2 linked regions of the Oryzias latipes genome follow. The protein of the gene in region 1 interacts with the protein of each later gene in a biochemical or structural test. Links are inferred from orthologs where the notes say so. Each region holds a gene or a part of one and is shown on either strand. Other genes may lie near its edges.

Evidence for each region.
Region 2: of the proteins of card11 (region 1) and prkcq, one has a biochemical effect on the other in vitro, tested with the Homo sapiens proteins (2 studies listed by BioGRID). The link is inferred for Oryzias latipes from reciprocal best matches to the Homo sapiens genes CARD11 and PRKCQ.

What each region holds. Positions count from the first base shown.
Region 1 is NC_019866.2:18,997,754-19,001,574, forward strand, and holds part of card11 (caspase recruitment domain-containing protein 11), read right to left. Parts: coding exon 3,740-3,821; intron 2,558-3,739; coding exon 2,314-2,557; intron 2,198-2,313; coding exon 2,122-2,197; intron 1,927-2,121; coding exon 1,831-1,926; intron 1,748-1,830; coding exon 1,630-1,747; intron 1-1,629. UniProt on the Homo sapiens protein: Adapter protein that plays a key role in adaptive immune response by transducing the activation of NF-kappa-B downstream of T-cell receptor (TCR) and B-cell receptor (BCR) engagement.
Region 2 is NC_019881.2:20,888,564-20,893,112, forward strand, and holds the start of prkcq (protein kinase C theta type), read right to left. Parts: upstream 3,013-4,549; 5' UTR 2,847-3,012; intron 1-2,846. UniProt on the Homo sapiens protein: Calcium-independent, phospholipid- and diacylglycerol (DAG)-dependent serine/threonine-protein kinase that mediates non-redundant functions in T-cell receptor (TCR) signaling, including T-cells activation, proliferation, differentiation and survival, by mediating activation of multiple transcription factors such as NF-kappa-B, JUN, NFATC1 and NFATC2.

The sequences.
Region 1 (3,821 bases):
ATTACCATATCCAGTACATAGATATTTTTTCCTACAAAAGGCTTAAGAAAAGCATGGCCCTGTAAAAGAGGGAAACCTGTTTTCTACCTGGTTTGGTTTCATTTGTTATAACTTGAGGTTTTATTTTTTTCATACATTTTGCTCTTTTGTTATTTCGTTTGGTAATCAAAGCAATGGTAAAGACATTACAGTCTACCAGTAAATGTAATTTTTTTAACATTTCAAACACTCTTGCTCTGTTTACTTCAAAAGACATTTTTGCTTTGCTTTCATCTTATTCTTCAAACAGCTTTCTTCTACCTCCACCGAGACTTCAACCCCCTTCTAGCTCTCACATTTTATTTTTAGAAATCTTTCATTTTCTATGTGTGATCCTCTGGTTTTTTAGAGCACAAGTCTTAACTCCCACACAAACAAAGCTTTCATTTTTTCTTTGTCATCTAAAACTTTTTCTGCCTCCTGGAGAGATCCATCTATTTTTCACTAATTTGATAAGAGTTTTTCTCCTTTGTCTTTCTAATGAATTCATCAGCCTACAGAGCATCAGCCATGAATTAATAAAACAATAACACAGCTTAACAAAAGCTTAACATAAATATTTCTAGTCAGCCTTCAGAAAAATGTTATATGGTAGATGTAAGTAATACTGATGTTACAAAATAAAAACAGATTTTCTGAGAACTTTAATCAAACTAGGAAGTGGCTACTTCTGCAGTTCCTCAAAGAACCACCAGAGGCAGGTTTCAAAACCTTCCAGTAAACCACTGTGTTAAATAAGGTTCAGAGCAGAATAACACACAAAAAATACACTTGTGCTCTGCCTGGTCAAAAAACACTTCTTAATATTTGGTGCTTTTATTTGCAGCTCTAGGGGCAGCAGGGAGGGAGGGGATTATCTTTCAATTATAAGAAATCAAGGCAGATTGGGTGATTGGGTGAAGGTTGCAGTCTTGGGTGGCCTAAAAAAAACAGAATCTCTATGGTCTTTCTTGATTGACAGTTCTCCAATTGTTGAGTGAATAGGAGTTACTCTGTATGTTCATGCCACTTTTTTAGCCCTTGTGCTATCCTAGGCACTTTAACATTGGAAGTTGGGTCATCTAGACCCCTGAACTTTTTTCTTCAATGATTTGTAAACTTCACTGGTGTCCATGGATTACATGAAATCCTCTTCACCGTTATCCACCTTTGTCATGGTAGGGAGAACACGTCAATGTAAGGGTGGGGTCATAGGATAGCACAAGGGTTAGGCATTCATGTTCATCATTTAGAATCCTACAGGTAACATCAGAGACAATTGGTTCCGTTAATATATGAATTAGTCTATAAATACAACATAGTTGCCACCTTAAAATAAATTATTAAAGAAATCTTGACCATCAAACAGTAAGAAGAAGAATATATTTATTTCCCTTTAAGCTTCTCTCAGTTTGACATAAATATCTGAATATCTGAATTTATGCTAGGCTTTGTGGTTCCAGACTTTTGATTTTGATTTTTTTATGTCCTAGTAGGTCCTAAACAGGAATGCAATGATTTATCTGAGAATCGTGGCATCCCTAGTCCTAAAATCAAACCAAGGTCCGTCATTCCCCTTACATCCATGAAAAGCATTGTTTCTATGCTCACCTTCAGGCCTGAGCATCTCCAGTTCTTGTCTTGGTAGTAATGAGCTGCCAGAGTTGACAATCCTCACGCGTTCATTGCTGTTCATTCGTTTGTATTTGATGTCCACCCTGCCGACGAACTAGAAACCCAAGAAACCCACAAGAAATGGCACATCAGGGCTCAGATTGACTCATGAGAGTGGGATTGGTTTTCTTTAAATACCTGCAGAATCTGACTGAGGAAAATGCTCGCTCTGGACAAGCGTGGACTGGCTTTGGGATCGAGAGACGAGCTTGTTTCTTCTGGCGCTAAAGTGTTCTAGACAAACATAAAGAATTAATAGAAAGAATATCAGAATCTTTAAGCTGCAAAAGGTAAAGAAGACACAGTGTTTGACCCAAATCGAAGCTAACTTACTAAGTGTCTGCTGAAATCAAATAGCATTGATATGAAAAACTATACAATTGTTTTGTGTAATATGTAGCTTGAATATAAAATCAAGTTTTCACTTACTCTGCTATTGTCAATTTCTTCTTTCCCACTTCGACACACCAACTTTTGAATCTTCACCAGCAGCAGCTGCTGTGCTCTGTACACACCCATTCATACCAAGAGAAAAGTCTTAACAAAACCAAAACTCCTTTTGTCCATTATAAAACATCCTCCTGCATGAGAAAGAACATTAAACAAACAGTTGCAAAGTACCTTGAGTTGCTGGGAATGGTGCCACGCTCGGCCAGGTCAGAGCCACTAAATGGCTCCACACGAGCACAAAGCCACTGGCAGAGGCCCTGGTGCCTGGTATCCAGCACGTGCACAACTTCATCGCAGCGCACGCTTAAAGAGCAGCAGTCGGATTGTCCGGAGATGTTGAGGTTTACTCGGATGTAGAAAGAGTCGCCAGAAGCTAATTTACCATCTGCTAGATCCCTCTGGAGACGGCGATATGCTGGAGAGCAGAAACACAGCATTAACGCACTTTTAAAACAAGACAGACCAGAAGACTAGATTTGACTGGAAGTTCAGAAAAAAATAAATGGTTTGATTTGCTTTCACACTAAAGTTTAGAAAACTGAATAAGTCTAGATGGAATCAAAATATCACGCAGTTTAAGTTAAACTATACATCCTATTAAAGTATTTTTTAAACCCATTTCCTGTCTATATTATCCTCATCCACAAACTAGCCATTTATCCAACTGTAGTGATCCACACTCCTTCATATCTTAGCTGTGGATCATTTTATTTTCGCCTAAAATTTGAAGCCACTTTTGTGATTTCAATAAGTTTACTTCCTCTCTTTAACCCACAGAACAGTCCATTGTATCTTTACTGTGGTGACCACATCAGGGTTCACTTGCAAATTAACAGAGATCCGTATTTCCTGTTTTCTGTGACACAGTTCAAAGATGCACTCCGATCATCTTTTGATCTATTTTCCAACTGTTCCCAGTGGTCTTTTCATTTTGATTATGCCACTTTTAGCCAAAAACAAAAAACTTGTCTTGTTTTCTAGGACATAATTCTGCAAACATTAGAAATTTACCATTGCGTTGTGGGCAGGAAAAATGGCATGGAGCAACCCCGCCCCCTTCCCTTCCCCATTACTGAGAGCTCTCTGTTTACATGCGCTCCTGCTAGCTTACAGCCCCAACATAACATTACCGGTGCAACAAAAATGGTAAGCAGTATTGGAGCTATGCAGCCGTACAGTTTTGAGCCAGATTCCAGCTCAGACAAGGAAAACAAAGACAAACATGTAAGTGATTGTCTACAAGTGGATGCATCAGAACGAAGCTTATGACCCATCCAGCATATTTTCTACGACACAAATAGGCTCTGCTCATTTTCATCTGCCCCCTATTGACATAAAATTGAAAAAAGAAATACTCAGAAATGCCATTTTAAGCTTATTTTATATATATATATATATACACACATACACATACATACATATGTGTATATATGATGATAAGAGAAATGCCACAAAAACATGTTAAAAACACCATTTTCATCAGAGTGTTTCTTTAAATGAGCTTTTACACCTGTCAGACGAGGTAAAATATCCAAATTACCCAATTTTTGTTAGACATTACTGGGTAGATTTTCTGTTTATTTCTAACAATGGTTACCATCAAAACTGGCTCGATAGTGCAGTGTGATGAATCCAGAGCAGTGCTGCAGCGTCCAGTGGGCTTCTTCCTGTGTGCTGGT
Region 2 (4,549 bases), on another chromosome or scaffold:
CATCTATCATAAAAGGCTCCATCTGATTGGTCAAATGCAAAAACGGATTCATTTGATTTGTTAAATACTTCAAGCTGCCATACGATATTTTTAGCACATTTAAGATAACCATTTAACGCAATTTTCGCGTTAATGTGGCGTTTTGTTGTAAACACGGGACTCTAAATGAAAGCAGATGAGGGAGCGAAAAGTGGAAATGCTTTGGTCTCCAGAGAGCAGAAGGGTTTGATCGAGAGCCCGCAGACCTCAACATGAGCAGGGATCAGCAAATGTCACCCCCCCACCCGGGCTCCAACACAGAGATGTGAAGAAGGTCAGGAGGTTGGAGGCCTTTGTGGAGGCTTTCATGAGCGGGGCAGCTCCGAACCTGTGCGGCTATGAAGCGCAGCGTGGGGGCGCCTCTGAAGCGGGGGCCGGCGGGGAGACACCTTTGTTGTTGTCAGGAGGGGGTGAGTCTTTGCTGACGGAAACCCAGAAGATCAGACTTCCATGAAAGAGTCTGTCCATCAAAAAGAGCAGAGCCCCCCCCCCCAAGATAGACTTATTTTTAGAATATATGTTCCTTCAAAGATCCAAAATGTATAAAAGTGTAATATGGAAAAATAATAAACAACAACATGCAGAGATCTTATCGTTAGGTTATCCAGCTATTGACAAACTGGTAACTATGGTAACTACCATTACCTCACTGTTGACTGTTAATTAACTGTTAATTAACTATTAACTAACAATTAACTAACTCATTAGCAGAATTTCATTAGATTTACACAAAGTCTAAAACCTTCATGTAATTTTCTCAGAGGTTGATCAGCAAGGGAGCAGGTGGAGTTTTTTTTTCCTGTTTGCTTTTAATCAAAGCAGTCCCACACTATTATACTACCACTACTAGGCCTGCACAATATACCGCAAATTTATCGTTATCGCGACATTAAGCTGTTCAATATGCATACCGCAAAAGACGGCGAAAATCGCAATAAATGGTTACCTTAAATGTGCTAAAACAATCTCATGGCAGCTTGAAATATTGAGCAAATGAAATAAATCCCTTCATGCATTTAACCAATCGGAAGGACCCGTTTACGTTGTTGACCAATCAGATGAGCCCTTTTATGTTTGATGTTTGCCTCCTACGTCGACAAGGGTCATTTGGAGTATAATTTTTAAACTGTTGCAGTGAAATGGAAAAAATGTTTTTGTTTTTTTTGCTATTTGTTTATATACCACAATTTATATCGTTATCGCAATATTAATCACCAATATCGCATATCGCGAGTTTTCCTCATATCGTGCAGCCCTAACCACTACCATGCTTTACTATAACTTTGCAGAATAAGTATGAATCAAACTTTTGAACTTTATTTATAAAGCACTTTTCATATAAAAGTATAACACAAATTGGTTTACATAAATAATAATAATAATAAATAATATAAAAACAAACCATTAAGCATCTAGTGTTATACCTGGATTCAAAAACGTTCATGTGATTCTCTCAGAAGTGGCCCTGAAAGCAAGCGGAAGGAGGGTTTTTTAAATTAAAGTAGTCCCACACCATGAAACTACCACTATCATACATGACTGTTTATTTGGGATCAAGTTAGGGCAGCACAATATGACGAAAACTCATGATATGCGATACTATTGATCAATATTGCGATGACGTGGTACATGAACAGATAGCACAACAACCAAAAACATTATTTCCATTTCACTGCAAAAATTAAAAAAATGATCCTCCAGATGACCATCATCTACATAGGAGGCGAACATCTAACATAAAAGGGCTCGTTAACCTTTTATCGTTATTTTTGCTGTCTTTTGCGATATGCATATTGCACAGTTTGATATTGCGATAACAAAACATTTGCGATGTGCAGCCTAGATCAAGTAAAGTGGTGTGAAAGTGTTTCCTCTATAAGTAAACTGAAGTTCCGCTTTGATCATCTTTTGATCTGTTTCAAAGCGTTCCAAATCGTCTTTTAATTAGCTACAAATAAAAATAAACTGTTGTTTTCTAGGACATGGATTCTGCAGAGCGGCAGTAATAAAAACAGTAATATTAATAATAACAATCTCTGAGTTTTGGGTGGGACTGTTGCTGCACAGCAACCCTGCCCCTCCAAACCATAAATGAGAGCTCTCTGTTTATATGCTCTCCTGCTAGCTTCCTAACAGTAAAAATAACAGCAGTATCAAAGCTATCCAGCGATACAGTTTATCCAGATTCCAGCTCAGGAAAACAAAGACATTCATGGATCTACTTATCTGAAAGTGGATGCATCAGAATGGGGCGGAGCAGGGAGCTTGTGGCTGATTCCCAACAGTTTGAATAAAAAAATACCGGTACTTAAATTCAATTTTAAGCATCATTTTCCAAGTAAATGTCCTCTATCCATAGAAAAATGCTTCAAAAAGATAAAAATCACCAAAAGCAGGACTCTCATCTTTCATTTTCAAAAGAAACCTGATTTTTACTCTCTTTACATTTAAAAACATAGATTATTATATATTTAAAGTTTCTCAAGCGATTTGTTTTTGAACAAACAAACAAATGGATTCAGGGTTTTATCATTGAGGCACTAACCAGCACAAAAACTCTGAGTCTATTTTTACACAAAAATGTACTAAGTATTAAACCAAATTCAAAGATTTCGCGTTTAGATCACCATTTTCGCCCCGAAACTGCTAAGGCATAAATCCTGTTAATACAAGGATCCAACAAGCCAAACTTCTCCTCATTTTCTGATGGAGTCCTCGTGCCAAAGCGCTCGCGCCACTTCAAAGCGCCGCGGATTCCAACATTTTAGTTTTAGCAAACTTTAAAAAGCTCAAACTGAAAGTCTCACCTCACGAAGACAGGCGACGTTCTTGCCCTCAACCGCGCCGCGCGACACATCAGAAGAAGCACGCGCCAGGTTTAAAAGGCTGATACCATGGTGCGTTCACGGACTCCCCGAATTTCCCCCGTTTTGCAGGTACTCATTTTTGACGTGAGGTTGCTTTGAAGGAATAAATAAATAATGGAAAACATAAGTAGAGGGTCTCTGTTGGTGCCTTGTTCGACTTCAGAGCCTCACCGAAGACGCTTAAAGACAAAAAGTAGTTTTGGGCTTTTACTCCTCCTACGGTCTCAGATAAACAGAACTAAAAACGTCATTTCCCGCCCCATAATTTATTATTATTTTTTTTAATAAACTTTATTGCACATTCTGTCATTTTACAAGGATGTACTTTTAGGTATGCAATAAAAAACACAACTGCAAATATCAAATACACATCTGTAACAAACAGAAGAACAATAGAGAATTTCCCGCCCCACAAGTCTTTAAACTCCTCAGTAAAATTCGTCATCACAGGAAAAAGAGAAAGACATCATTTACATTTATAGTTTTCCTCTGAGTAGTTTTATTATCCCTTACCATTTATTTAAATTAATTATTACCTCTTACTAAGCTACATGGAGCTTTTTTGGTCAAGTTTAACATTTAAAACAATGACAAACTTGATGTGACACTTTTAACAAATTAAAAGAAAAATTCAAATGTGATTTAAAAGAGTCAGACTCATTCAAATTTAATTGAGATTTTTAATAGTAAAAATATTGTCAATTGATATATTATAATATTTTTATTCCAATATTTGTATTCTTAAAAACAGAAATGGAAAACTGTAAGAAATTTGGTTTAAAATTTTAATTTAGAGGGTCTTCTGTCACATTTGTTGGAAGAATGTTACATCGTTGGATGGCGACATCTTCAGGGGAAAAGCTGTACTACAGTTTCATCTCACTGACAAAAAGGAAAAACTTCCAGAATCTTTGGAGAAGTTTGATCCAAATCTGAGTGGATAAAAACCAAGCCCGAAACTCCAAACTATCCTTCAGTGAAGCACGGTGGTGGGAGGTTGTTGCTGTGGGAACGATGTGTATGAACGATTGTGCACCTAAACAGGGCCTTAAAAATTTTGACGAAACTCTTAAATGTTTCCTTTTCTAAGTACAAAAAAAGTGTTTTTTCTACAGTGATAACTTTTTTTATATTAGTATAAATTAAAAGGATGTATAAATATAATTAAAATTTAAATTAAACTTTAGATTCCTTCAATATAATTGTTTTTCATTTTAATGCATAACATTTAAAAGTTGGTCATATTTATTTTATTTATGGGAACAAATGCAGACAATTTACAAATTATAGACACATAAATTTGATACAAAACTCTAAAGTTTGACGGTTTTTAAAACAATTATTCAGTTTGAATTGTGCTGACTAAAGTTGACTATTTTATGTGTGTTTTACACCAAATAGGTATTTTTTTTTGTTAACTCCATAAAAGATGTTGACTTGATGCTGATGAAAGTTTGTGAGTTTTTGGGCTGTAATCATGTCAGGAAGTGAAATTTGTTGTTTTACAGCAGCACTAAGAGCAAAGTAGCTCCTGTTTGTTTTGTTTTTTTCTCTGCTGTTGACACAAGAGACACTTTCTGTTTGCATTTTTTTGATTCAATTTCCTGCTATGACATGTTTTCTGGAACTGACGGAACTGACGG